7 linked regions of the Ovis aries genome follow. The protein of the gene in region 4 interacts with the protein of the main gene of each other region in a biochemical or structural test. Links are inferred from orthologs where the notes say so. Each region holds a gene or a part of one and is shown on either strand. Other genes may lie near its edges.

Region 1 (3,500 bases), on a different chromosome or scaffold from region 4:
CATTCTTTTTACTAAAGTGGTAAGTTTTTTTTTTTTAATCTTAATTATGTTTTCTCAAGTGAAATATAGATACTTGAATTTAGTAAAGAAAGTGATGTTTTTTAAGCATACATTTTTGATTTAGTGTTAAAGTAACTTATTTTCTTACTGTGTACAGGAAAGCTAAAAAAGCCCTTTGTATCTTAAAGCCTTTAGAATACATATAATGGTTAAATTTATATATACCATATGTCAAAGTGTATAAGTCACCTGGATATAAAAAAATCCATCCTAATAAAAGAGAATTTGATTCCTCAAAGTCTCATTATTCTCAAACCCACTGGAAAAAGCAGAGGTAAAAAAGATAGTGCAGCACAGCATAAAGTAGGTAAGATGTTACAGTAGATAATACCAAAAAATCAGTATATTCATAATGATAGTTTATCATCATTAATATCACATATCTTTTGAATAGAATTGTATGGGTGCACTGTCTGAGGCAATATGTATATATTTCAGATAAAATTATTTTATAAAAAAAATAATAGACAGTCAAATCCACAACATGGAAAACTCTACAGGAAATGATCTGTTACCTCAACGATGTGGTCACATCAGGCCTCATTCTCCCATAAAAAGTTCCCATTTCGACAATAAAAAGTTCGCATGTTTTAAAAAAAAAGAATCGACACTATTGAATCCTTATTCAACTACAAGAAATTTGTGAGGGAACTTTCCTGGTGGTTCAGTGGTTAAGAATCCCTTCCAATGTAGAAGATGGGGGTTCAATCCTTGGTTGGAGAAGTAAGATCCCATATGCCACATGGCATGGCCAATTAAAAAAGTAATAATTTATGAAGTTCATGTTTATAATCTCATGACTTTATTAAAGCTTTTAAAATTGGAACATTTTATATGTGCCTCCAAATAGAATGTGTTAACATATTCCTTTGTTTCTAAATCCCTTCTCCTCCCATATTTCTTAGAAATTTCTAGTTAGAGAAGAAACTTGATCACATTCAGGCCTTTCTTCTTGTTTTAATGATGGGAGGGAATGGAGTAGGGTGACAATGACAGGAATATTTTACAGGTGATGCTGTGTATTTCCTATTGCATCGCACCAGGAGATGCACAATGTCTGATTGCTCAAAGTTGTTTATTGAGTTATCCATTATTCAGTTCTTCAACAGCCTTTCCCTTGATTCTAGCAGCCATCGATGATCATGGCTTAGATCTTTTGTTTGAATAGGGGTTACAAAATGATGGCATTCTACTTCTATTAATATTATTCCTTTTACATTTATTAGCTGGAATTCTTCTATATAGAGGAAATCTCTCTCATCAACTATTTGATACATTGACATGCAATTGATGCAGGATACATTTTTGATTATTTGCCTTTATTATTTTTTAAAGGCCTTTCTTGTACTTTTGGTTATCACATTTGCTGGTTGATATAGAATTAAGTATGAAGTAAGTTTATTTTGAATCTTGTAGTAGAAGTAAGAGAAAGTTCAGGTGATGAGATACAATCTGATTTATTTCACATTGTATGGTATACCCCAGGGAGTATATTACCTGTGAAACTGGACTTCCCACAAGGTTCCAAACTTGCTAAGTGTTTGTTACCAGTTATTACATGTACCTATGAATGATTATATTCCTATGTGAATTTGAAGAAAATATATAAAAATTTTTTTCTTATAGCTTTTGGACTTCTTGGATCAGCATCCCTTTTCATTTACTCCTCTAATTCAGAGATCACTGGAATTTTCTGTAAGCTATGTGTTTACAGAAGTTGGTGAAGGTGTTACATTTGAACGATTCATTGTCCAGTGCATGAATCTTATTAAGATGATTGTCAAAAATTATGCTTATAAGCCATCTAAAAATTTTGAAGGTAATGCTTTACTGGTAGTTTTATTTTTTTCATTTCCTTGTTTTAATCTTAGTGTGAAGTAATTGCTATTTTTATGTAAGTTTTTTGAAGTTCATTTAAGTCTGAGAAATAAACTATTGCTGGGACATGAAATAGAGATAAGGATTAGAGCTTTTGGTATATAAATACCAGCTTTTAAAAGACATACAGTGCATTTAGTAAACTACTGTCTTTTGTAACACAGTGGAACATCAATTGAAGCCTAGGTCTTTTAAGAATTAAGTACTTCAGTAACCTCTGTAGCTCATTTGTAGACTGTATTTATTTGTACAATTAAAAGTTTTCTTTTGATCATATATAAAGTGATTCTAGGCAGATTCTATTGCTTCTAGAATAGGTTAAACTGTTATATTGCAGTTGACCCTTGAACAGCACAGGGGTTAATGAGTATAACTTATAGCTGGCCACTATAAGTGAATATGGATTCACTGTTCCTGTGCATCTGGGGATTCATCTAACCGTGTACACTGTAGTTTAGTATTTACTGTTGAAAAATATCTGAGTGTAAATGGACTCACAAAGTTCAGGGGTCAGTTCTGTTTGGAATTCATTCATGTGTATGTTTATCATGATGAATGAGAATGTCGTGTAGAAGAGAAAGAGAGACATATAGGTAAGCCACTGCAGAATATGATGTGATGATATAGGATGGAAATGGACTAGCCATAGTGCTAAGGTAGAAGCAAGACTGATGTGTGTGTGGTATCAGTAAAAGCAAGAGCATCTTTGAGATGTGTCCATAGTACAAATGAAAATATACTGCTATTTAGAAGGTATTCTTAAGTTTATTTGTTTCACTATCCAGCATGGGTAGAATACTTGTCTGTATAATTAACTTGGAAATTTAATTTTTCTAGATAGCAACCCTGCAACTCTGGAAGCTCATAAGATTAAGATGGCATTCTTCACATATCCTACTTTGACAGAGATATGTAGAAGATTAGTCTCTCACTATTTTCTGTTAACTGAAGAAGAACTGACAATGTGGGAAGAAGACCCGGAAGGCTTTAGTAAGTGTCAGTTTTTCAGTGTTTGCATGAATTTTTCCTCCCTTTCATCAATAGATATCATGTATTTGATGATAGGTATAATAACATTGTATTTTAATGTAGTGCTTTTGTTCTGAGAATATAACTTCCAAAAGTTAGTTTATTCTGTCTTTACTAGCCATTAGTACAAATTGAGAAGCAGAAAATGAATGACTTGTTCAACTAAACGGAATTTTTTCCAGAAAGATAAAATTTTTTAGAGTTATATAGTTTAAAACAAAAATATGAAATTAATTGTCTTTCTCTGTTATCAGATCACTTTCTCCTCTGTGGTTCATTCTTTATTAATTTTTATTTGTAGAAATTTTTACTTCAGAAAGTAGTTTGGAGATGAAAATTTTTCTGAATTGCTGAATGGATTACCTATTTAAGATATTTTAATTTAAAATTAATTTTTAGATGATTAAAATATTTCTATAGGACATGTATTTAAAATATAATTTTATTTTTAAATTTATTTTACTTTTGGTGGGCTTTTCTCTAGTTGCGGAGCGTGGGCTTCTTACTGGGGAGGCTTCTCTTGTGGAGCCTGG
Region 2 (4,010 bases), on a different chromosome or scaffold from region 4:
CCCCACGAATTTCTAATAGAGGCTTTGAAATCACTTTTTAGTCTAATCTGGGCCATTTTGGAGCTGGTGACCTACAAAAGTGTTCCATTATCTGTCTCAAGGGGTACCTACTCTATCCTGATTTATAAATAGTCATATATTTTGTTCAAAAGAACTTCTAAGCAAGTGCGTATGTGTAATGCAGTAACAGAAGAAAAGTGATATTTAAAATTAAGAACGTTTCACAGGACCCTTAATTTAACGGAACATACTGGAGAAAGAGGCTTCGTGTTTTCACTTTTTTTTTCTTGAAAGAAGTACTTGATTTTTTTGAAGGGGCCAGAGAAGCCTTTGAGAAAAAAATCTATTAACTGGTTCCCTAGAAAAAGGCAGATCTATTTAAGAATTAGCCCTTATGATCCCACTGATCATAAGCTGAAGAACGAAACATCTTCGATGAAACTGATATTTCATCTTTCATTTAAAAGAATTAAAAATTCATGAGTCATTTAAATCAGGAAATCGGTGGAAATTTCCACATTTTGTCTTTGTGTGGATACGTGATGGTGGCGGTTGCGTGGGGGTGGGGGGTGGGATTGGGGAAATCAGGGTGATAAAAAGAAGTTGCTGCAAAGTCAGCTCTATAATCCTACGATTGGACCTTCTGGAAAGGCCCTTACATAACTACCTTACTTCTCCAATAAAACGCTGTCCGTTTCTTGCCCCTTAACAGATTTCTACACTTCCACTTTAAATATAACTGCGGATGTGAAGGACGAGAAACAACAACAGAAAACCCCTAAGGGTCCGCAAAATAATTAGGGCTGCCCCAAGAGAAATCAGAGCGCGAGACTGGAGGAGCCCCTGTTCCCTCCCACCACCACCGCGCCGGGGACACACACTTAGCCTCTCTCCCGGACTCCCCGCCCCAGCCGGCTCGCCCCTCCGCCTCATCTGTCCCGAACACGTGCTCTCCGGAACACTCACTCGGGAGCGAGCCCACCCCCCCGGGGGGGGGCCGGGCTCGGGAGCCGAACGGCCCAATCGGCGCGCGCCTTACAGCGCCGTGGCTGAGCCGCCCAATCGGCAGGGCCTCGCCGCCCGTTTCCCGGAGCCCCGCCCCCTCGCGGCCGTGCCCCACGCCCGCCGGTCTCCTCCCTCCTCCTCCTCCTCCCGTTCGCCCCTCCCCCTCCGCTCGGGAGCGGAGCCTGCGAGACGGAGAAACTGGGGCAGAAGTGAAGATGGCGGCGGCGGTGCTGGTGGTGGCGGCGGCGGCTTCTTCTCGCCAGTGACGCGCCGAGCGGGCTCATTTCCCTCCCCACCTCCCTAGTCCGGACCCCGTCCGCCGCCGGGACCACACACCGGCCCCACAGCCCGCAGCCCGTCCCCCTCCCCTCCTCAGTCGGGCCCCTCTCTCCCGACGTCCGGCTGCCGGTGGCGGCGGCAGCGGCGGCGCGCCCCGGGTCCCGGCCGCCGGCCTCGCACTCCTGCGCCCTGTCGCTGAGGGAGCGGGGTGGCGTGTTGATCCGCCCTCCTGCCCGCCCCGCCGGACCGCCGCGCCTCGGACACACGCCCGGCAGGGAGGCGGCGGCGGCGGCGGCGGCGGCCCCTGCGCATTTGCTTCTCTCATTTGGGGACCGGGAGGCGGCGGCGGCTGTGGCTGTGGGTTTTGACGAGGGGAAGGGGTTCGGGGGTGGGGGGAGCCGAGCGGGAGGGGGCCGTCCTCGAGAGGACGACGAGAAGGAAGCACCATGACGTCCATCCATTTCGTGGTTCACCCGCTGCCGGGCACCGAGGACCAGCTCAATGACAGGTAATAGGGCCGGCGGGCGGGCCGGCCGGCGGGCGGCGGGGGGAGGGGCGCCTCCCCGCCCTCCCCTCCCCCACGGGGCCGCGCCGGACCGGCGGCCGGTGGGGAGGGCGGGGGTCCTCACTGCCCCCCGGCTAGGCCCCTTCCGGGGCAAACTTCTGGTCCCAAGGACCGGGGCCGCGGGGTCGGGGGGGTGTGGGGGGAAGCGAGCTGTGGACGGGGAAGAGCACTGCACCCTCTAACGCCCCCTGGTCCCCCCGCCTCCACGGAGGAGCCGCGTTCAACTCGGTGGGGGCGGCGGGTGGGTATCCAGCTCCCGGTGCGGGGAGCTTCATCACCGCCCGGGCCAGGCCCGAGGAATCCATATTAGTCAAAGTTGAATTGAGACAGACAATGCGGATGGGGGATGGTGGAGGCTGAAAAAAAAAAAAAAGAGGGAAGCGGAGGAGCCGGGCGAGGGGCCCCGGGGTAGGCTGGGTTCGCCCGGGCTCCCGGGAGCTGTGTCCGGTGGGGTGGTCGGACCGGCGGGGGCCTGGGGCTCCTGGGGGAAGGGGAGGCGGGGCGGGGTGGGGTCGGGGGACCTGGGTGGGAGAAGCTGATTCCCTGCAGATCGCGGGTGGGGTGGCGGGAGGGAGGAAGCGCCATGATTATTGTTATTATTATTAAATTTGAGCCCCTGCAGTGAGGTTTGCCGGTCCGGGGAGGGGATGAATTTAGGCGAGGGTGGGGGGCGGGGAGGGAAGTGGATTGGGTTCCCTTTGCTCTGTTTTCTCTGGAAACGGTGCTGGCAGCTCCTGTTTCCCAGTCCCTGTGGTGCGAGCTTTTTTGTTTCCTTTTTTTATTCTAATGATAGTGTTTTCCTGAGTTGTAATTTGACAGCTGAAAACCGTGCGTAGAGTCAAAGGAAAACTCTTACGTTTGCAGTTCGCAGTGCTGCTTTTCTTAACACGCTGTAAATTTCTGGGATGGGTTTTGCTATGGGCGGAGGAGGCATTATGATTTTTTTTTTTTGGTCTTTCATAAGGAGGCTGTTTTGACTCCGGATTCCTCCCCTTCCCTCCTCCACCGTTCCCTGCCAGTTTAGGATATTGAATTGCAAGGCCGCATGCTCTCAGGGAACTGAGATAAAGCAGGAAAAGTTCCTTCACTGTTGCAAAACAGAGATTCCGAAAAGGTTGAGGGAAACCTCCATTAGGCAAGGCTGAGAATCTAGGACTCAGATCGAATGATGGGCTAAATGTTTTACAGGGTCAGAAAGTGGGGCATTTGAAGTTTCTATACCAACACTTTCGCTGCTCTCTCTTCCTCATAAATATAGAAGGCCGTCAGGGCCCACGTTTAGAAGTTAGATATGATTTTTGTTAAGTGACCGGGTGACATAAATTGCATGAAGCCCTGTTTGTCATGCACTTCCCTGAGGGAGGAGGAGGCCTAACTTCTGCTGATATACCGGCCTCTGTTTCGGGGAATCTAACTGCCTCAGGTGGGGCGGACAGCCTTTCAATCCGGGAAGCTGGAGGCTTGGTTTCTGGCATTGGGTTCGGATTTGTCTAATCTTTGCTGTTGTAGCCATATTGTATTTCACATGTTTGTAGAACTTTTGGAATACTTTCTCAAAATACTAATCATTTGGAGTGGTCACATAGTTCTTTTAAGTACGAAAATAAGTTTTAAGTCATTTATTTTATAATGCAGTCTTACTCCGATTTTATTTCATTACATATCTTTTGTTAAGACTTTTACATAAGGTTTTTTTTTGGGGGGGGGGGTAAATTTTAGAACCAGGCTAGTAGTGAGGATAGCTGTACTGTCTGTCATTCATAGAATCCAGTTGGCCGTGCTTGTGGGGGAACTTGTTACATTGCACCAGAAGAGACATACACGGTGTATTTTTTATACTAGTCCTAACTTTATATACCAGGAATCCTAACTAATTTACTCAATTGATCATGCATGCCAAAACCTATTTTGCGGTTTTGTTAGGCACTTTGAATAATTTTTGAGCATTCTTTTTTCAGCTAGTCTAGAAATTTACATGTATCCTTTTTAAAGCTACCTTTTCTTTTTTCATTCTTGGTGTAAACAAATAATCAGCTTTGACTCCTGTACTCTCAGTATACAATATTGAGACTATTTGGATCATTTTCAGTTTTCATGAGAAATAAAGACAGGTGGTTTCGAAAATGAGACTGTAAAATATGTGCATCAAGAATGTAGTAGA
Region 3 (2,728 bases), on a different chromosome or scaffold from region 4:
GGAGCCCACTCCTGAGGCCGCTGTGTAATCCTACCCCTTTGACCCCCCCCCCAATTCCTGATAGAGACTCCAAGTTTGTGGAGCGGACCTTGCGACTGGCGGGCACCCAACCCCTGGAGGTGCTGGAGGCTGTGCAGCGCAGTCTCGTGCTGCAGCGGCCACAGACCTGGGCTGACTGTGTGACCTGGGCCTGCCACCACTGGCACACGCAGTACTCTAACAACATCCGGCAGCTGCTACACAACTTCCCTCCTGATCAGGTAACGCCCACTTGCCAGGTCCATTTGGCAGAATGTGTTTTTTCCATAAGGGGAGCCTGCTGTGAGTTCTCTGGCTCCTCCTGGAGATTAGTCCAGCTGTGGCATATGCCCCAAGGTGTGGGGAGTCTCAGAAAAATGATTAAACTTGACCTATTTTTGCCATCCCCTTTCTTTGCAGCAAGAGACTTTCATTTTTGTTTCCCTTACCTGTGGGGTGGGCTGACTCATCCACCTCCTAGGACTGTAGCGATCATAGAGGAGAAATCTTGGAGTTAAGAGCTCAGGAAATCAGCGGGGGTTCAACTCCAAGCACCATTTGCACTTGGGCAAGTCACATAGCTTCTCTGTATACTTCAGTTTCATTGTCAGTAAAGTAGAGGTGGTAATAATTACCTCATGAGGGTTCTTGTGAGGATTTCTTAGTGTTTGTTAATATTAACTCAGTATAGTACCTGACAGTTCAAAGAGTTTGTTAAGCTGTGTCTTGCACAGAGTGAGTGCCAGGAGTTCTTTCAGCAACACCCCTAGTTCACCCTGGCATCAGAACTTCCATTCACAGGACCCTTACTGTCTGGGTTGTTCATGATTGACTCCATCCCCTGCCATGCGTGCCCAGCCAGGGCTAGTGAATAGGGCACACCCAAGGGCCAGGTGAGAAGTTAGGATTGCTGGAGAGGCTCCAGTTTTAGATCCTACTCCTCAAAAATCTCTCCACTTCTTTAGCTCACAAGCTCAGGAGCTCCATTCTGGTCTGGGCCCAAACGCTGTCCACACCCACTCACCTTTGATGTCAGCAATGTAAGTCTCCTCCTTGGGGTCTCCTAGGGTCAGGTGGAGAGTGGGTGGGAGGGAAGGAGGCCAAGACTCCCCAGGTGAGGGCAGATGTGCTCACCCTTCTGGGCCCTGCCTTCTCCCAGCCCCTTCATCTGGACTACGTGATAGCTGCTGCCAACCTGTTCGCCCAGACATACGGGCTGACAGGCTCTCAGGACCGAGCTGCTGTGGCCATGCTCCTACAGTCCGTGCAGGTCCCCGAGTTCACCCCCAAGTCTGGAGTCAAGATCCATGTCTCTGACCAGGAGCTGCAGAGCGCCAATGCCTCTGTGGGTGAGGATGTTTGGCCCCTCTGCCAGGAGTTACTGCCCCACTGGTCCTCTGCCCAGTGCAGCCTCCTCACCAGTTCTCTGCCCCGGCACTACTGTGCAACCCTGTCCTGAGACTTCCTTCTTGATCTGTTTATCTGGAAGGTGTGATTTCCACCAGTGGTCTTGCTCCTTTGGTATCTGCTCCCATCCTCTCACCCCATGTTCTTCCGTGTGTGTCTTCTCTGTGATGTTACCCTCCACATAGTTTTCCTCATCCCCTTCTTCATATTTCCACCCCAGTTGCCCATCTCTCTCCCCCAGCTCATGCTCTTTATCGGGTGAAGGGCCAAGCAGTTGACTCTTTTAGCCCATGTAGTGTCTGCAGCTAATGATCTCTGCAGTTGAAGCCCAAAAGCAGCCATACACGATGAATGAATGTGGCTGTTTTTATTTTCTCCCATGTCTCCCATCTTCTTCCCAGATATCTACCCCCTCATGATCCTCTCTGTATATTTTTTCTGCTTCTGCATTTCACCCATATTTCCTTCATCTTTTCCCTCATATACATGTACATGTATTTGTATAAAACATACATTACAGGTACATGTAAAATGTGTATAAACATTTTGTGTGTGTGTGTGTAATATACATGCAGACAGAGTGTATATAGAGTATATATAGGGTGTATACAGTCTTCTCACCTATCTCACCCTCTATATATGCCCCATTCTCTACTTTTTTGTATCTTCTGTCCTCCCATCTTAACCACATCTGCACACTTCTCCCAACTACCTCTCTGTATATCTTCCCCTGCCCTTTTCCCCTGTATCCTCCATGTCTCCCCACCTCTTTGCATCATTCTCCCTGAGATCTACTGCTCTCCCATCCTTATCTGTCCATCCCCACTTTCTCCTAATGTCTTTGTTTCGTTTCTTTAGTCTCTCTTGCCTCTCTTGATATTCCACACTGCACCCTTCCCGCCCCAATCTTCTTCAGGTTTGTACTCTGTTGTCCTGCACTGTTTCTTGCCATTGTCCCTCGTCTCTCCCAGGATGTCTTTCCTTTTCAAATCCTTTGTCTCCCTAAACACCTTTTGCCCCCCTTGTTTCTACCTCAGACCCTGGCCTTGGGTCTAAAGCGTTGATGGTGTCCCTTTCTCCCTGCAGATGACAGCCGTCTGGAAGAACTCAAGGCCACACTGCCCAGTCCTGAAAAGCTCCCTGGGTTCAAGATGTACCCTATCGACTTTGAGAAGGTGCTGGGTGGGGGCCCCAGCAGGCAGTGGGGATGGGATAAGCATAGGTGGGCTGGACAGAACAGGCTTCTAAGGATCGGGAGGCAGCCCCAGGCCTTTGTGGGATTGGATCATGGGCCTGCTACGCG
Region 4 (3,942 bases):
GAAGAAAAAAAACTGTCTCTAATTTGCTTACATAAAGCAGACAATTTTATATTTGACACCTGTGCCTTTATCCCCAAATATATTCCTGGACACTAGGGTAATCCAGCAAAATATAAAAGTGCTAATGAACTAACGCAAATATTCTGCCTTAGGTCAGGCCAAAAGCTGCCCTCAGCTTGGATCAGAGAGCCCAGAAAAAGGGAGGGGGAATGAAGAGAAGGGTCCATCCAAAGCAGGCAGGGGAGATGCCAGGCTTGGGGAGAACCAGCACAGGGCTGATAGCGGAGGGCCGCTCAGGACTCCTGGGAAGCTGAGATGCGATCAAACAACCTCGCTGAAAATGAGAATCTTGCCAAGGCACCTTGCCACGTAACTCTACACATATACACTGTTTACAGTAAGCCAGAGTCTTTTCTTCATCTCCTGTGCTTAGGTCACCAAAGCATTTTATCAACTTTCCAAATTTCAGGGAAAATGACAGGACAAACTTTCTAACTAAAAGTTTTGGCTCACTACTCAGTGGAGAGACTTAAAGCCTCCTGTTCCATTTTTTTAACGATCTTTTAAGACAGACATCTTTACCTAAGCTACCATTTCAATTCCTTATTATCTTCCTGGTTTGCCACTTTAAAGTTTAATGACTGTACACTGGACAACCGGATTTATGAAAAGGAATGGAGGCTCCAAGGAATCTGCTGTAGACTAAGGCTCGTGAGGATCAGAGGATACTACTGAAGGATGATGGAGATTAAAAGTAACTTCTATCAGAGACATAAGAGGGAGAGAAAAAAGAAAAAGAGCTACTGCTTGAATTCAACTTGTGTTGACAAAAGTGTTTTTGTTTTGTTTACAGCATAAAAGAAAACAGCATGAAAAAAAATTTGAGCTTCCCGGAAATTTAAGTGGAGGTTCTCAAAAAAACACAAAGAATCCCCAAAACAGCCTAGAATAACTAATTTACATCACTTATTGACTCATTAATTTGCCTCAACTCTCTAAATCAGAAAAATCTCTTTAAATCCCATCTGAAAACATCCATCTCCATCTATTAAATTTTTCACTCTGCTAACGTGAGTTAGTTATTCCTTACGCCATGTGTGGAGAAAGCACTATTCAAAGAGAGATCCTATGTGCAACAGGTGAGAAGGCAGTAAGACAGAGATAGAAATCGTCGTGATAGAGCTGTCCGGGCAGGTATTAATAATTAAGTGGGATGACAGTCTTGGGGAGGGTCACAGATTAGTGATTAACAGGACAAATAATTTGAAATCAGATTTGGAGGTCACTAGTAACACTCATGCGGATTCTTACAAACTGCAGCAAGATACGGGGAAGGCAAGCCACAACAGCTGCATGGAGACAATGATCAGAAGTAAAAACAGAAGCAGCAAGAGAGAGAAATAATTCGGGCTTTCAAGGTCCTTTTTTCCCTTTTTATGAACACATAAGCCCTGAGGAGCGTGTAAGCTACCCTCACTGGAAGCGGACCCAATGCAACCGGAGGCCGTGCGGGCAATAGGAAGCCTGCTTTGGGGGGCGGGGGTGGGGTTTGGGTACCTCTTGGCGCTGGTGGAGAGGAGTTTGGAGTTTTTGCTCATGCTGACTTTGCTCTCCTTCTTCTTGGGGGTGTTTGCTTCTTTCTCAGTTTGCTGGTTGGAGGACGAAGACGAGGAGGAGCTGGTGCTGGCCCTCGAATCGTCATCCGACATAGCGAACCCCCCGCCCCACCCCGCAAACAGCCCCTGCAGGAGGAGGGAGACAAAACAGAAAGGCCGGTGTAGACACGGAACTCGGGCGCTGTCAGGAGGGCTCGGGCCCCGGCCGCCCCCCCGCCCTCCACGCGCTTTCCCGAATCTCCAGGCCCATCACGGCCTCTGCGAGTCGGACGCGGGCTGTTTGTCTATATTCCTGGCCCCGAGTGGGGGCCGCGGTGGGGACCGGCCGGGAGCGCGGCGCGCCGCCCCTCCGCCGCCCTCGAGGCTCCCCTCCGGGCGGGGGCCGGGCCGGCCGGCCTCGATTGGTGTGCGGCGGCCCCCGGGGGTCGCGGGGGCCGGGAACGGAGTTCGGCGGGGCGGGGAGGCCGGGGAGGGGCGAGGGAGGAAGCCGAAAGGGGGGACGGGGACGGGGAGCGGGCGCCGGTGGGTGGTGGGGAGCCGGGCGGCGGGCGGGGGCGCCGAGGCCAGGCCCCCCCCCCCCAGTCCCGGGCCGGCCCCCGGGGGCGCGGCCGGGCGGGGGTCCCAGCACTGGCAAGGGCGCCGCCGGGGTCGGGGTACGGGGCCTCCCCGGCGGAGGGGTAACAATGAGCGCGGCCGCCCTGGGGAGCTAGCCCCGCGGGCCCCCGCCTCGGGGACACGGGGCGCCCCTCCCCTCCCCCTCCACGGGCCTCGGCGGCCCCGGGAGCCCCCCGTGGCCGCGCTGACAGTTCGAGCCCCGGCAGCCCCCCCCCGCCCCCGCCGCGGGCGGCCCTCGCGCCCCACGCGGCCCGGGGTCCCCGCCCATCCCCCCGCGGGCGGGCCCGGCCCCCCGCCGTCCCCCAGCCCCGGCCCCGCGCCCGGCGGCCGCCCGGGCGGCTAGGGGCGGCCCCGAGGCCCGGCGGCGCGGCCGGGGGCCGGCGGGCGGCGCGGGGGATCCCCGTACCTCTCTTTGTGTCTGGCTGCTCCGTGCCGCCGCGGCGGCTGCTGCTGCGGCTGCGGCTGGGCCTGGCCACTCGTGTCTCTCTCTCGCCGGGAGAGAAGCGGAAGTGCAGCAGCAGCAACTATTAAACAGGCAATGGCTTCCCCCGCCACACACGCTCGCCCGCGCCCCGCCCCGCCCCGCGCAGGCCCCGCCCCGCGCAGGCCCCGCCCCCGCCCGCGCAGGCCCCGCCCCGCGCCCCTCCCCCCGCACGCGCGCCCTCCCCCCAGCGCGCACCTCAGCACCTCGGGCGCCGGGCGGGGGGCCGAGGTCTCGCGTGGCCTGGGGACCCCGCCCCCGCCCCCGCCCGCGCTGGGAGTGGGTGCGGGTGCCGAGAACTGCTCCGAGTGGGGAGGTGACCTGAGGAAGTCCTCCCGCGAGGGGCTTTTGCCAGGGAGACTCGAGGGTGGCCGACTGGTTTAAAAAAAAAAACAACAGGTGATCCGGTAGCCAGGACTTTGGACGAGAGAATGGCCCCGGGAACTGCTCCTAAAAGTGATCAGCCTAAGGGGAAATGAGAAATCCCACGACAGGCTTTCCTATGGGCTGACCTGGCTTCTCCCTCTGACGGTTTACCTGCTAGGAGCAGAAGTAGGTGCAGGCTCGCCTGTGAGGAACGGGACTTTTCTGCCCAGACACGTGCCGTTTTACAATTTTAGGTATTTCCAGTCATTTTTATAGACAGAGGTGGTGTTTTCTAAAAGTGATACAAAGAATTTCGTGACAGAAAAAACCAACCAACGTGTGACAGTCTCACGAATGTGAGAAATCAATGGGAATACACTCTGTACTACTGCATTAGACTGGATTTAGAATTTTTGGTGTCAGAATTTGGATTAAAAGTTTGGGGGACCGCTGTACATTCTTCAGCTACAATACAAACGCCATTCAAATAATCATACAATTTTTCTAAAAGTCCCTCTAATTCTGAATTGTTCATTTAGTATTCTTAACAAGATTACTTTTTTCAAGCCATCAAATTGATTATGTTTCACATTTATTCCTCATTTCAATTGAAGGAAATTGAAGAAATAGGTATGATGTTACAGGTAGGAAGTGTAGTACATTAAGCCACTGTCCAGTCAGATTTCCATGGGCCACTGAATTATCTCATCCAAATTGCCGTCCTTTCCCATGGCAGCAGTGTGGCTGCAGTTACCACAGTACAACACAATTTATAAAGCCCGAGGCGTATCCGCTAACCAGGAAAACAAGCGTTCTTACCACCCACCTAAACCCCTCCGAGCCCTCAACAGGAAACTCCAACTT
Region 5 (3,500 bases), on a different chromosome or scaffold from region 4:
CATTTATCCCATTATAACCTCTCAATAGCTCCACTCCTTTATTTCCATTCACAATTAGTTATCATTAGCAGAAGAACCCATAGTGGTTTGATTTTAACCAAACTGTTATGTGACATACATTCCACTTAGCATTTATTCACATAAATGAATTGTACATTTTGCCTCCTGTACCCCAGCATAAAGCTTATATTCATACTCTCTGTTCCATATATCAAGCTGTTTTCCACCTAGAAGAAAGACTAGATAATTTTTACTTTGAAATTTTTGATATTAGGTTAGTATGAGCCAGTGATTAAGGGGAAAAAATGGAATTTTGAACATGAGGAATGGTTGAAAGCCTAGGATGTTTAGCTGCCATTAGATAGCTGGAAAGGAGTTGACTCATTGGAAAAGACTCTGATGCTGGGAGGGATTGGGGGCAGTAGGAGAAGGGGACGACTGAGGATGGGATGGCTGGATGGCATCACGGACTCGATGGATGTGAGTCTGAGTGAACTCCGGAAGATGGTGATGGACAGGGAGGCCTGGCGTGCTGCGATTCATGGGGTTGCAAAGAGTCGGACACGACTGAGCGACTGAACTGAACTGAACTGAACTGAACTCATGAAGTTTCTGCTGTGTATTTTGAGTAAAGTTATGGAAAGTGCTGTGCCAGGCACCTAAAGAGAATACCTTGGAGAGATAAAGTTGGTAACTTATTTATTTTTAAAAGACTATCTTTTGGTAAAGGAAGTAGAGTGATCAAAGTAATCAAAGAAGTAGCATCAGTAGGTAGATCATGAGAGGTACATTTTCATTCATTAAGAGAAAAATATTAAATTGTATGCAAGGCAATATGTGTTTGGTAGTGCAAATGTTGTAAATCCTGTTATAGATGGCAAAAAAATAGACCAAAAGTTAGGTGAACTGCTTGAGATCATATCATTAATTATTGCTAGATGCTCCTATAACAGGCAGCCTTCCTGTGAAAATAATGATGGTAGACTCACCATAATATAACATTAAAATATTTAGCCCACTTACTGAAATTAAACAAATGACTAAATGAATATTTTTGTCTTTTTTTGATAGCTGTTGTATTTGTTGTTGATAGCAGTCATAGAGACAGAGTTAGTGAAGCACACAGTGAACTCGCAAAGTTGTTAACAGAAAAAGAACTCCGAGATGCTTTACTCCTGATTTTTGCTAACAAACAGGTAATACATTTGTATTTCAGAATATTTATTTTAGCATTCCACATTATAAGGTAACTGTTAAGATTTTGAGAGAAATAACTCAGTAGATATAAAGTTTCTGCACTGTATTTTGAATGCAGTCTATATGGAAGGTGCCATACTTGGTACCTTGGAGTATACAGAAAGAAATAAGGTAGAAACTTGTATGTATTTAGGTTTGCATGTTAAGTGTTTATTTCTAATACTGCTAAGTGCAGATTAATAAGACTGCTAAGTGACTTCAGTGATATTAATATAAAGTATTATGGAAAATTATAGAGTAGTTCTAAAGGTTGTATTTTCTAAGATTTATAAAAAGTAGGATTTGAATTGAAATTATAGATAATACTTTGAGTTAGTATTTGAAGGAAAGAACACTACAGACAGAAAAAATAAAAACATGAGTATTTTTAGAGAGCATCATGGAGACCAATATGCCAGCAAATTTGAAAAATTCAGCAGTGTCCACAGGACTGGAAAGGTCAGTTTTCATTCCAGTCCCAAAAAAGGTTATGCCAAAGAATGTTCAAACTACTGTATGGTTGTACTCATTTCACATGCTAGCAAGGTAATGCTGAAAATCCTTCAGGCCAGGCTTCAACAGTATGTAAATCGAGAACTTCCACATGTACAAGTAGGATCTAGAAAAGGCAGAGGAACCAGAGATCAAATTGCCAACATCCATTGGATCATAGAAAAAAAGGAAAAGAATTCCAGAAAAATATCTCCTTCAGTTTCACTGACTATGCTAAAGCCTTTGCTGTGGGAATCATAGCAAACTGTGAAAATTCTTAAAAAGCTGGGAATACCAGACCACCTTACTTGTCTCCTGAGAAACCTGTATCAGGACAAAAACAGTTAGAACCAGACATGGAACAACAGACTGGTTCCAGATTGGAAAAGGAGTACGCCAAGCTGTATGTTGTCACATCATGCGAAATGCCGGGCTGGATGACTCACAGACTGGAATCAAGATTGATGGGAGAAATATCAACAACCTCAGATATGCAATAGCAGATATGCAGATGACACCACTGTAATGGCAGAAAGCAAAGAGGAACTAAAGAGCTTTTGATGAAGGTGAAAGAGAAGAGTGAAAAAGCTGGTTTAAAACTCAACATTCAAAAAACTAAGATCATCACTTCATGGCAAATAGGGAAAAAGTGCAAACAGTGACAAATTTTATTTTCTTGGGCTCCAGAATTACTGCGGACAATAACTCCAGCCACAAAATTAAAAGATGCTTGCTCCTTGGAAGAAAAGCTATGACAAACCTAGATGACTTATTAAAAAGCAGGGATAGCACTTTCCTAACAAAGGTCCATATAGTCAAAGCTATGATTTTTTCAGTAGTCATGTGCAGATGTGAGAGTTGGACCATAAAGAATGCTGGGCGCTGAAGAACTGATACTTTCGAACCGTGGCAGCTGAAGATTCTTAGATTTTGAGACAGCTTCTAGGAGGATAAGAATGCTTTTTTTTTAATGCAATAAAGTGGCTTAGATGTCATAAGAAGGAAGAGTTGGATAGACGGTAAGGATTTTCCCCTTAATTTGAAAAAAAGGCAAGCTATTAAGAGCTGATACACTTCACATTATGATTAAAGATATGCAAATAAGGCAGAGTGAAATACCATTTTCCACTTATCATCTTGTTAAAGATGAAAATGTTTGATAATCCTAGGCAGGATACACTGCTGGTGTGGTTATTAATGTGAGACATTTTCTTGGAGGGCAATATGGCAGTACTTTGTCAAAGGTTTCGATGCATATACCCTTTTACCCTGTAAATCTCTAGTAATGTATTCTGAAGACAGTTACCCTAAGGTTGTCTTAGAGATAATTTTGCAAGTGTATGTATTTAAAAATATGTTTACATCCATGTGTATGTATATGTAATAGCACATAAGCACATATTTTCAATTTAAATATTCAGTATAAGACTGGTTAAGAAAATTATGTTACACCTGTTGCTGCTGCGGCTACTAAGTCGCTTCAGTCATGTCCGACTCTGTGCGACCCCATAGACGGCAGCCCACCAGGCTCTGCCGTCCCTGGGATTCTCCAGGCAAGAAACTGGAGTGGGTTGCCATTTCCTTCTCCAATGCATGAAAGTGAAGTCGCTCAGTCGTGCCCGACTGTTAGCGATCCCATGGACTGCAGCCTACCAGGCTCCTCCGTCCATGGGATTTTCCAGGCAAGAGTACTGAAGTGGGGTGCCATTGCCCTCTCTGATGTTACACCTACAGTGGAATGCAATATAGAAGTTAAAAATACTGGTGGAAAG
Region 6 (4,047 bases), on a different chromosome or scaffold from region 4:
AGCCAATTTTAATTTTTCTTCTAAGTCTAAAGACTACATTCATATCATAGCCTCTTCCCTTTCAATTAGCTTCTAGGATCTAAAAATTGGACTTGGTTGTTGTTCATGTATCCAATCCGCAATTTTCCCAAGCATATTACAATAAAAGATTTAATAATTCTATAAATTAACATGTGTGTGCTGTGTGCCCAGTCATGTCTGACTCTTTGTGATCCCACGGACCGTAGCCCACCAGGCTCCCCTGTCCATGGAATTCTCCAGATAAGAATACTGGAGTGGATTGCCATTTCCTTCTCCAAGAAATTAACATGCATAAAGACAAATATCTGTATCTCACACACACACATAAAACAGTGGAAGGATAGCAGGAGTAGTCTGAGTTTGCCTCATAATTATATTTTAAAAGGTCCCCTGGAAAAACTGTTCTTTCCGATTACATTATATAAAACAGTTGCATTAAATTTTACCAGGGCACAACTACTTTGAATGCAAAAACATGATTAAGAAAAAAAGTGCAACTGGAAAAGAATCTAAACATTTGAAAAGCATCCAGCATCAATCTCTGACCAGTTTACCTTTTCGTGTACAGCTCAAATAGTTTATGACTTCCATGACATTCGTAACTGCAAGCCAGGCAAATTCCTGCCGGTTCTTCTCCCTCTGGAGTGCAGGTACTGCAGGCATACAGTGCTTGTCTCTTTACTGAACCCTAAAGACAGCCCCAAAATGGAAAAAGACCGGAAACTGATGAAACACTGGCAGAGCAACCTAATGCCCACACTATGATCTGAGAAATAACTGAAATCAGATGATCTGGGGTCAAGATCTTCCTGTAAAAGCCACTGAGACTAATAAAAAAGCATATACAATAGAATACCAAAACACTGTTGCAGGTTTCATACACGTTTCATATAACTTTTTCTCAAAGTGATAGAAGTTAACATTTTTAGTCAGCTGTGAATAAACCGGTCTGCTTAACTATTTTAACACATGAAAATACAGGAGAATGTGTGTAAGCTTATGTAAGGAATAATCATACTTTAATTTTGGAAAATGCTTGTGATTCCACCAAAGAGAAAACCAGTGCATTAAATGAATCCCTTTGATTTTAAGATGTATGCTGACATATTTAGAGTTGAAGTGTCATGGTCTGAAATTTATTTTCAACTGGTTCAGGAAACAAAAACAAAGTATATTACAGTGAAGAAGTAAAAGATAAAACAAATGTGGTAAAATATTAAAAAGTGAATATATGTGAAGGTACACAGGTGTTCATAATATTATTTTTTCATTTTAACTGTAGACTTTAAACATTTCAAAATAAAAAGTCGAGAGAAAAGCAAATCCTGATAATGGCTGCCATCTTCTGAGAAGAAGGGAGTCCCAGGAAAGCTTCTGTGATGCTGGTAATGTTCTATTTCTTGATCTGTGTGGTATGTACCTGCAGGTGTTTTCAGTTTTGCTTTCCCAAGACTTATACATGGTTTCTGCACTTTTCCACATATTTTACAACAATACAAAAAAATTTTTTAAGGAAGTCTGTTTTAAAAATCTAACTACGTTTCAAAAATAACTTACAGGCTTTTTTAAAAAAGGCAAACAGAGAAAAAGTTGTTCCAGTGGCGACCAAAGGTTTTAAAATATCAGCCAACATTAAATACCTCTGAAGCCAGGTGTATTAAAAAAAAAAAAATCTAACCACTTTGCAGTGTAAACTCAACTGGTCATTGATAACAACTGGTATTGTGATCTCAAGCAACACCACGTAAAGACCCCATGTCTCTCTCCCCATCCTGCAATGTTCCACTCCACCTGCCTGGAAGATAACCTTCTTCCTATCAAGTACCATCTCTCATTAGTTTTCTTCTACCACCTTTCTCCATTTTTGAACCTAGAAACATAGAATGAGTCACCAAACACTACGTCACACCCCCTCCAGTCCTTGTTCCCACCATCTTCCGAATGCCATCTCTCCTCCCCTCCTTTCCTTTGCCAGTGCCACCAGCTGTTCGGGTTCCGGTCTATGCCCCTGGAGGGCCGACTGCAGAGAGACGTGGTACTTGCTTCCTCTCGCCAAAAAAAAAAACCAGCTAGCACCTGTCAAACTAAACTGCAGAGGAACCAGCTGTCCAGGAGTCCAGCCTACGCGGAGAGATTTTCAAACCCAGAGCTCTCTCCTTTAATTATTTGACTCTTCCGTTTAGTACCCAGCAAATACTCTGAGGATGGGAAAAGTATGGACAAAGATACTCAGGATGTGAAAGGTCACGGGGTTGGTTTGGTGAAAAGCGGCCGGGGCACAGAGAAGAGACGAGGAAGGAAGGAAAGAGCAGCTGCTCTGGGGCCAAAACCGTAGAAACGTCGGGGGCCTGACAGAGGAAAATCGAGAAAGGAGGGGCGTCCTGCTGGCCACAGGTTAGAAGGGGCTCAGAAGACTAAGTGTAAAAGGGCACCTGGGCCTGGGATGGGGAAGCCTACGACCAACAGCTGCGCTGGACCACCACAGGGGGCCGGCCGCGGCCGGCGGGAAGAGAGAGGGTAAGGCGGTGGGGAAAGGGAGGTTCAGCGGAGGCGAGGGCCGAGCCGCGCGCCCACCTGCGAGTAGGAGCACTTCTCCGAGTCACTGCCGCCCAGGACGGCGCAAGCCTCATTCTCCAGCTCCTCGTCCTCCTCCAGTACATCGACCAACGATACCACGGGCTCCAACTCCGACTGTCGCCCAGCTGGCTCCTCAGCTCCAGCCATCCTCAACTGTCACCAGGACCGCCGACCGGCCCCGGCGGAGGCGGGAAAAGCGTCCGCGAGGGGCGGGGCCGGAGGAGGCGGGGCCTCGGTGCCAGACACCAATCCCAAAGACAGGGAGCGAAGGAAGGGGGAGGAGCGACTTCCGACAAACGGAAGTCAGGCCTCTCCCTTCTCCGCGCCTGCGCCCGCGGCGGGCTGGTTTCCGTTTCCGGTGGCGACTCACTGTGGCGCGCTCCTGAAGCGTAGCGGTCGCTATGGAGCTGTTGGGCGAGTACGTCGGACTGGAAGGGCAGCGACAGCAGCTGCGGGTGCCTTGTGAGGCGCCGGGCGTCACCGACCCTTTCCAGAGCTTGTTGTCCGGTGTGGCTCAGATGAGGGAGCTGGTGACTGAGCTCTTCGGCTCTCAGGTACAGCCGGAAGCACAGGACCGGGGGACGGCGGCTCCCGACGAGGCCTTGGACGGTGAGCTTTGAGACGGTTCAGCGAGTGACAGGAGGGCGGGCAGGGGCGCCCGGAGAAATTTGGGCTGTACCTGGACTCGTTTAGCAGGACTGCTTTTGACGATTCTCTTTTCATTTATGTCACACAAAAAACGTACTGAACGCCTACGGCCCTGTGCCAGTCACTGGGCTGAACTCTGGAGAAAGAATGACGTGAATGCGACTCAGTTCCTGTTCTTGTGGAACTCTGTGGGAGGTTAGACAGACAAACATTCTTATTAAAGAGTAGAAGGAATGACCCTAGGCTTCTTTGTAACTATTGCAAACCTAGAGAACCCAAGAAGGCTTCAGAAAGAGCATGACTTCTAAGCTGGGCTTAGAAGGATGGAAAGGAATTTTCCCAGGCGTGAACTTACAAATATGTTTGGAAGACCGCCATCTATTACAGAATAGAAACAGGTTCTGAAGATTGGAATAGATTTCAGATGAACAAGGCTTCACTGTCAGGGACTCCTTTCATTTCCCAGTGTGGTAGGTGCAGTTTGAAAGCAGAAATGGAAATTTTAACTGTATTCTTAAGTCTTGTCTTGAATACCCTGAGCTGAAGAACCTAAGAACTAAATATTGGAATCAGGGCTTACTTCCCCTATTGTTGTTGTTGAGGTTCAGTCGCTCAGTTGTGTCCAACTCTGCAACTCCATGGACTGTAGCACACCAGGCTCCTCTGTCCTTCTCTGTCTCCCAGAGCTTGCTCAAATTCAGGTACATTTAAACTGCAGTGCCATCCAGCCATCTCATCCTTTGTCTCCCCCTTCTCCATCTGCCCTCAATCTTTCCTAGCATCAGTCTTTTCCAGTGAGTC
Region 7 (4,154 bases), on a different chromosome or scaffold from region 4:
CAGAACAGGAGTTACTTTCCAAAGTAGGGGTGCCATCAGCCTCGGCGGCCCCTGCTATGAAGTGATTTTTCTAGCCAATGGCCTCTGTACCTCATCCTCTAGTTTCTTGCACCTCATCCTGTCTGCCAACGATAAGCTCCTCCCCTTATGTACCCATGGGTCCTGGTCTAAGAGCAAATCAAGAACAAAGTCCAGGGCTACTCCCTACCTAGTCAGATGGACTTACTCCCTTTAGAGTTCAATTTGATAGTGATACAGACTGGGCAGTCCTTTCATGAAAGAGTGAGCAGGTCCCAGCAAAGAAAAAGCAAGGAAAGAGAGAATATACCAGGTTACAGAGATCTGAATATGAGCCTACTTTTGCCCTCTCTAGCTATGGAACCTTAGACAAGTCACTGCCTTAGCCTTAGTTTACTTACATGTAAAACTGAATACTGTAGCTTGCTTAGTAGGGCCGTTATGAAAATTGAGTAAAGAAAGCAGATATGAAAGTTAAAAACTACTAAATCAGTGTGCACTTACTATGCACCAGACACTAAGCATTCTAATTTACTTCATTATAGATTACCATCACAGTAATCTATGACATAGGTCCTGTTACTAAACCTGTTTTACAGATGAAGAGCCAAGAGTTTAAGTAACTCACTCAAGATCACACAATCAGGAAGAGATTGAGCCAAGATCTGAATCCAGGATATGTGACTCTAGAGCAGAGTGCCTCAGCTTTGGCACTGTTGACATTTTGGGCCAGATACTGCTTTTGTTGTGGAGGCTGTTCAGTGCACTGTAATATGTTTAATAGTATTCCTGGTGTCTACCTATTAGGGGCCAGTAGTACTCCACACCCCAAAAGTGACAACCAAGAATGTGTCCAGACATTGTCGAATGCCCCCTGGGGGACAAAACCACTGCCAGTTAGGAACCATTTCTTTAGAACTTGGCACAGGACTAAATACTCAATGCATCTGCTATCCCTTGTTCTTGTCTCCCAGTTCAAACACCTCATTCACAGAGCCACTGTTATGCACCTTCTGTAGAATTCATTCTATCTACTTATATAACTGCTAAGGAAGATAAGACCTGACCTCACGTTCCACTCATACCCTGGAGCTCTCACACACTCTCTGTCACCACAGCTTGGAGGGACACACCAAGAGGAGCTTGGGCAGATGACCTTGAGTAGTCTCCTGCTTTGTGACTGGCCATTCTCTTTTTCTCTGAAGCCAACCATTTTCAGTGGGTCCACGTTCAGAGTGGAATGAGTAGTCACACCAAGGCTGCTTCATGATGAGGTGAAGTGAAAGTCACTCAGTCATGTCCAACTCTTTGCGACCCCATCGACTATACAGTCCATGAAATTCTCCAGGACACAGTGCTGGAGTAGGCAGCCTTTCCCTTCTCCAGGGGATCTTCCAAACCCAGGGATGGAACCCAGACCTCCCACACTGCAGGTAGATTCTTTACCGGCTGAGCCACATGATGAGGGATGTCTGGTTAACAGGTGAGGGAGATTCTGCCCCTTGCAGGGAAACTCAGGTTCCATCAGGAGTCCTGATGGCAAAGAGTGACGACTTTCTTGCTGAATCCCTGAACTCTGCAAAACTTCGCACACTCATATAGTTCCATAGATTGCTTCTAGGTCTTTGGGTCCCCAGAACTCCCTTTGCTTCCTATGCAGAGACTTCAGGAAAATTCCTTTCGCAATCCAAGACACCCATCTGTAACTCTATTCAGTCTCTTAATTCTACAGACCAACCAGTACCTCTCCACCCCACCGTTCCACCCTTGCTAAATCTTGTTCTCAAGTCTCCTAAGAATCCCAGCCTTGGGGGCTCTTCATTGCAACCCCCACCAACTCCTCCCTCATGCGTACCAGAATCCCCCAGACAAAGATCCTTTCATCTCTTTCCAAGTCGCTGCAGCCTTCAGCCCTGTATCGCAGTTAAACGCCCCATCCCACACCTCAGATCTGTGCTCTCCCTCAGTCTGAGCCCCCACCCTCTGGGTGCCATCAGGGACCCTGCCCCCCTTCACACCCCCACCCCCAAACCTTGCTCCTTCCTCTTTTCCCCACCCATGTCATGTGTCGCTTCAAACCTCAGGCAAGTGTCTTCTTCCTGCTTAAGAGATCTTGCTTCTCACTGATCCCGTCAAGAATTCAGCCCGTCGATCTTCCTCAGATTCCACTCGGGGAAAAAACGCTTCCTCCTCGGCAATTAGACTAGCCCCGGGCTCTGCTCCCTCTGATCTCAGATCTCACCCCGCTCAAAGCCTACTGCCCCCAGACTCTCTCAAATCACCTGAGATTCTGCACCCCGAATCTCATCGAGGCTCCCCAGTCCCTTCATACTGCCGAGATTCTGCACCCCTGATCCCTCCAGAGCCCTTGGGTCCCCTCCCATCTCTCAGATGCTGCACCCGTCTCCCCTCAGGGCCCCACATTACCTCATACCTCCCGAGATGCTGCACCGCGAATCTCGGAGCCCCTCGCTCCCCTCCTGGGCTGCATCTCCTCCGAGGCCCTCAGCCCCCTCGAGTTCGCCCCGAACCTGCATCTAGCAACCCACCCCCGGCGCCCCTCCCCACATACACCCACCACGGTCCTGCCCCTCAGATCCGGTCCCCCAGGCTCTGCCATTCTGGCGTGGACCGACCGCTGCACGCCGTCACAGCCCACCGTCGCGCCGCTCGGCCACCGCCCGCGACTCCGGCCGCGGTCCCGCATCCCCCACCCTCCATCCCGCCCCCTACCTGACCGCCCGCGGCTCCGACGCGTCCGCCGCTGCCAGCCCACCGGCCCACCGCCCTCTGCGCACGCGCCAACGTTAGCCCTTTTTGCGGGCGCCAATTCGTAGAGCTGCCTGTCCGTCACTGCGCCCCGCCCACCCCAAGGCATGCTGGGGGTTGTAGGCGGGCGGACCCGAGCTCGCGGCCCAACGACCAGGTAGCGGTGAGCTAATCAGCCGCAAGGAGCTAGGTGTCTTGAGGACACGCATTTCAGCTTTCTGTCCCCGTTGTACGGTTGAAGAAACCGAGGCCCAAGTTCACTCAGAAAGTCGGGAGCTAAACCGGAACTCGTGTGTCTGAGTGCAGTCTGTGTCAACCCCTTCGCTAAACCGAAGCTGCCAGGAGTGGTCCTCAACCAAGCCTTGGCATCTCTCAGAAAGACCTCTCTCCACCTCAGCTTTGCCATCTGAGAAATGGGCCAAGGAAAGACTACAACGTTCACACATTCACTCTGGGGCAAGCACAGAACCTGGCTGCGCTTAGAACCATAGTGCTTCTGGGCTCTTCTCCCAGTGACACAGTGCAGCCTAGAGATAAGCTTATCTGATGAGCAAATTGCCTTTATGAAGGATTCCTACTCCTGCTCAGCTGGGAGGCCGACAGGGGAAGTAGAGGTAGGAACACTCTCTGCAATCTATCCCTGCAGATTGAAGCTTCCCAGGAGCCTAAACCCAAGTCTAGTTTTTGGGCAGCCAGAAAAGGGAAGAGTCTTCACAGGTGAGAAACAGTCTAGCCTGTTGGCTGGTGAGGACCTGTAGCCCCTGGATAGTTTGGGGTCAGCTATAATCCCCGGCAGCTCAGCGGTAAAAACTCCCCCTGCCATGCAGGAGAGACAGGTTCAATCCCTGGATTTGGAGGATCCCCTGGAGAATCCCCTGGAGAGGAAACGGCAACCCACTCCAGTATTCTAGCCTGGGAAATCTCAGGGACAGAGGAGCCTGGTAGGCTACAGTCCATGGGGTTGCAAGAGTCAGACACGACTTAGCAAGTAACCACTACTACTACCACCACAGGTTCCTGTGGGTGACTATACAGTATGGCTTAGGAATAGGAAGAGGTTGGAAGGAGGATGGGCTTGGATTTGACATCCAGGGTAGGTAAAGTGACTCTTCACAATGAGAAAGCAACAACCACAAACAATAACCTAAGTGTTGTGCTGCCGTCAAACCCTTCACATGCACAGTTCACTTAATCTTCCCAGTGACCCTGTGAGGTAAACAACTGATGCCCAGGTGATTAAAATAACACGGCCCCATACTCATAAGCATAAAGCCTAGATTGGAACCTGATTCTGAGAACCCTGCCTCTTAACCATGATTAATCTCTCTGCCCAATTCTTTATTTCTAAGTGAAAATGACATTTGCTG

Evidence for each region.
Region 1: the proteins of UBE2E1 (region 4) and IPO11 form a complex in vitro, tested with the Homo sapiens proteins (2 studies listed by BioGRID). The link is inferred for Ovis aries from reciprocal best matches to the Homo sapiens genes UBE2E1 and IPO11.
Region 2: the proteins of UBE2E1 (region 4) and UBR5 form a complex in vitro, tested with the Homo sapiens proteins (2 studies listed by BioGRID). The link is inferred for Ovis aries from reciprocal best matches to the Homo sapiens genes UBE2E1 and UBR5.
Region 3: of the proteins of UBE2E1 (region 4) and UBA1, one has a biochemical effect on the other in vitro, tested with the Homo sapiens proteins (9 studies listed by BioGRID, with this or other methods). The link is inferred for Ovis aries from reciprocal best matches to the Homo sapiens genes UBE2E1 and UBA1.
Region 5: the proteins of UBE2E1 (region 4) and TRIM23 form a complex in vitro, tested with the Homo sapiens proteins (4 studies listed by BioGRID, with this or other methods). The link is inferred for Ovis aries from reciprocal best matches to the Homo sapiens genes UBE2E1 and TRIM23.
Region 6: the proteins of UBE2E1 (region 4) and UBR7 form a complex in vitro, tested with the Homo sapiens proteins (2 studies listed by BioGRID). The link is inferred for Ovis aries from reciprocal best matches to the Homo sapiens genes UBE2E1 and UBR7.
Region 7: the proteins of UBE2E1 (region 4) and TRIM32 form a complex in vitro, tested with the Homo sapiens proteins (2 studies listed by BioGRID). The link is inferred for Ovis aries from reciprocal best matches to the Homo sapiens genes UBE2E1 and TRIM32.

What each region holds. Positions count from the first base shown.
Region 1 is NC_056069.1:17,077,668-17,081,167, reverse strand, and holds part of IPO11 (importin-11), read left to right. Parts: coding exon 1-19; intron 20-1,686; coding exon 1,687-1,879; intron 1,880-2,775; coding exon 2,776-2,928; intron 2,929-3,500. UniProt on the Homo sapiens protein: Functions in nuclear protein import as nuclear transport receptor. Serves as receptor for nuclear localization signals (NLS) in cargo substrates.
Region 2 is NC_056062.1:74,932,615-74,936,624, forward strand, and holds the start of UBR5 (E3 ubiquitin-protein ligase UBR5), read left to right. Parts: upstream 1-1,210; 5' UTR 1,211-1,730; coding exon 1,731-1,792; intron 1,793-4,010. UniProt on the Homo sapiens protein: E3 ubiquitin-protein ligase involved in different protein quality control pathways in the cytoplasm and nucleus. Mainly acts as a ubiquitin chain elongator that extends pre-ubiquitinated substrates.
Region 3 is NC_056080.1:57,606,877-57,609,604, reverse strand, and holds part of UBA1 (ubiquitin-like modifier-activating enzyme 1), read left to right. Parts: intron 1-64; coding exon 65-260; intron 261-983; coding exon 984-1,058; intron 1,059-1,177; coding exon 1,178-1,367; intron 1,368-2,511; coding exon 2,512-2,600; intron 2,601-2,728. UniProt on the Homo sapiens protein: Catalyzes the first step in ubiquitin conjugation to mark cellular proteins for degradation through the ubiquitin-proteasome system.
Region 4 is NC_056079.1:41,469,256-41,473,197, forward strand, and holds the start of UBE2E1 (ubiquitin-conjugating enzyme E2 E1), read right to left. Parts: upstream 2,801-3,942; 5' UTR 2,638-2,800; intron 1,743-2,637; 5' UTR 1,710-1,742; coding exon 1,558-1,709; intron 1-1,557. UniProt on the Homo sapiens protein: Accepts ubiquitin from the E1 complex and catalyzes its covalent attachment to other proteins. Catalyzes the covalent attachment of ISG15 to other proteins. Mediates the selective degradation of short-lived and abnormal proteins.
Region 5 is NC_056069.1:14,078,188-14,081,687, forward strand, and holds part of TRIM23 (E3 ubiquitin-protein ligase TRIM23), read left to right. Parts: intron 1-1,071; coding exon 1,072-1,196; intron 1,197-3,500.
Region 6 is NC_056071.1:55,650,637-55,654,683, reverse strand, and holds the start of UBR7 (putative E3 ubiquitin-protein ligase UBR7), read right to left. Parts: upstream 2,801-4,047; 5' UTR 2,746-2,800; coding exon 2,596-2,745; intron 710-2,595; coding exon 576-709; intron 1-575. Other genes in the region: EKC/KEOPS complex subunit GON7, read left to right, coding at 3,000-3,207. UniProt on the Homo sapiens protein: E3 ubiquitin-protein ligase which is a component of the N-end rule pathway. Recognizes and binds to proteins bearing specific N-terminal residues that are destabilizing according to the N-end rule, leading to their ubiquitination and subsequent degradation.
Region 7 is NC_056055.1:7,072,622-7,076,775, forward strand, and holds the start of TRIM32 (E3 ubiquitin-protein ligase TRIM32), read right to left. Parts: upstream 2,801-4,154; 5' UTR 2,752-2,800; exon of another isoform or gene 2,597-2,751; intron 2,558-2,596; exon of another isoform or gene 2,446-2,557; intron 2,435-2,445; exon of another isoform or gene 420-2,434; intron 1-419. UniProt on the Homo sapiens protein: E3 ubiquitin ligase that plays a role in various biological processes including neural stem cell differentiation, innate immunity, inflammatory resonse and autophagy.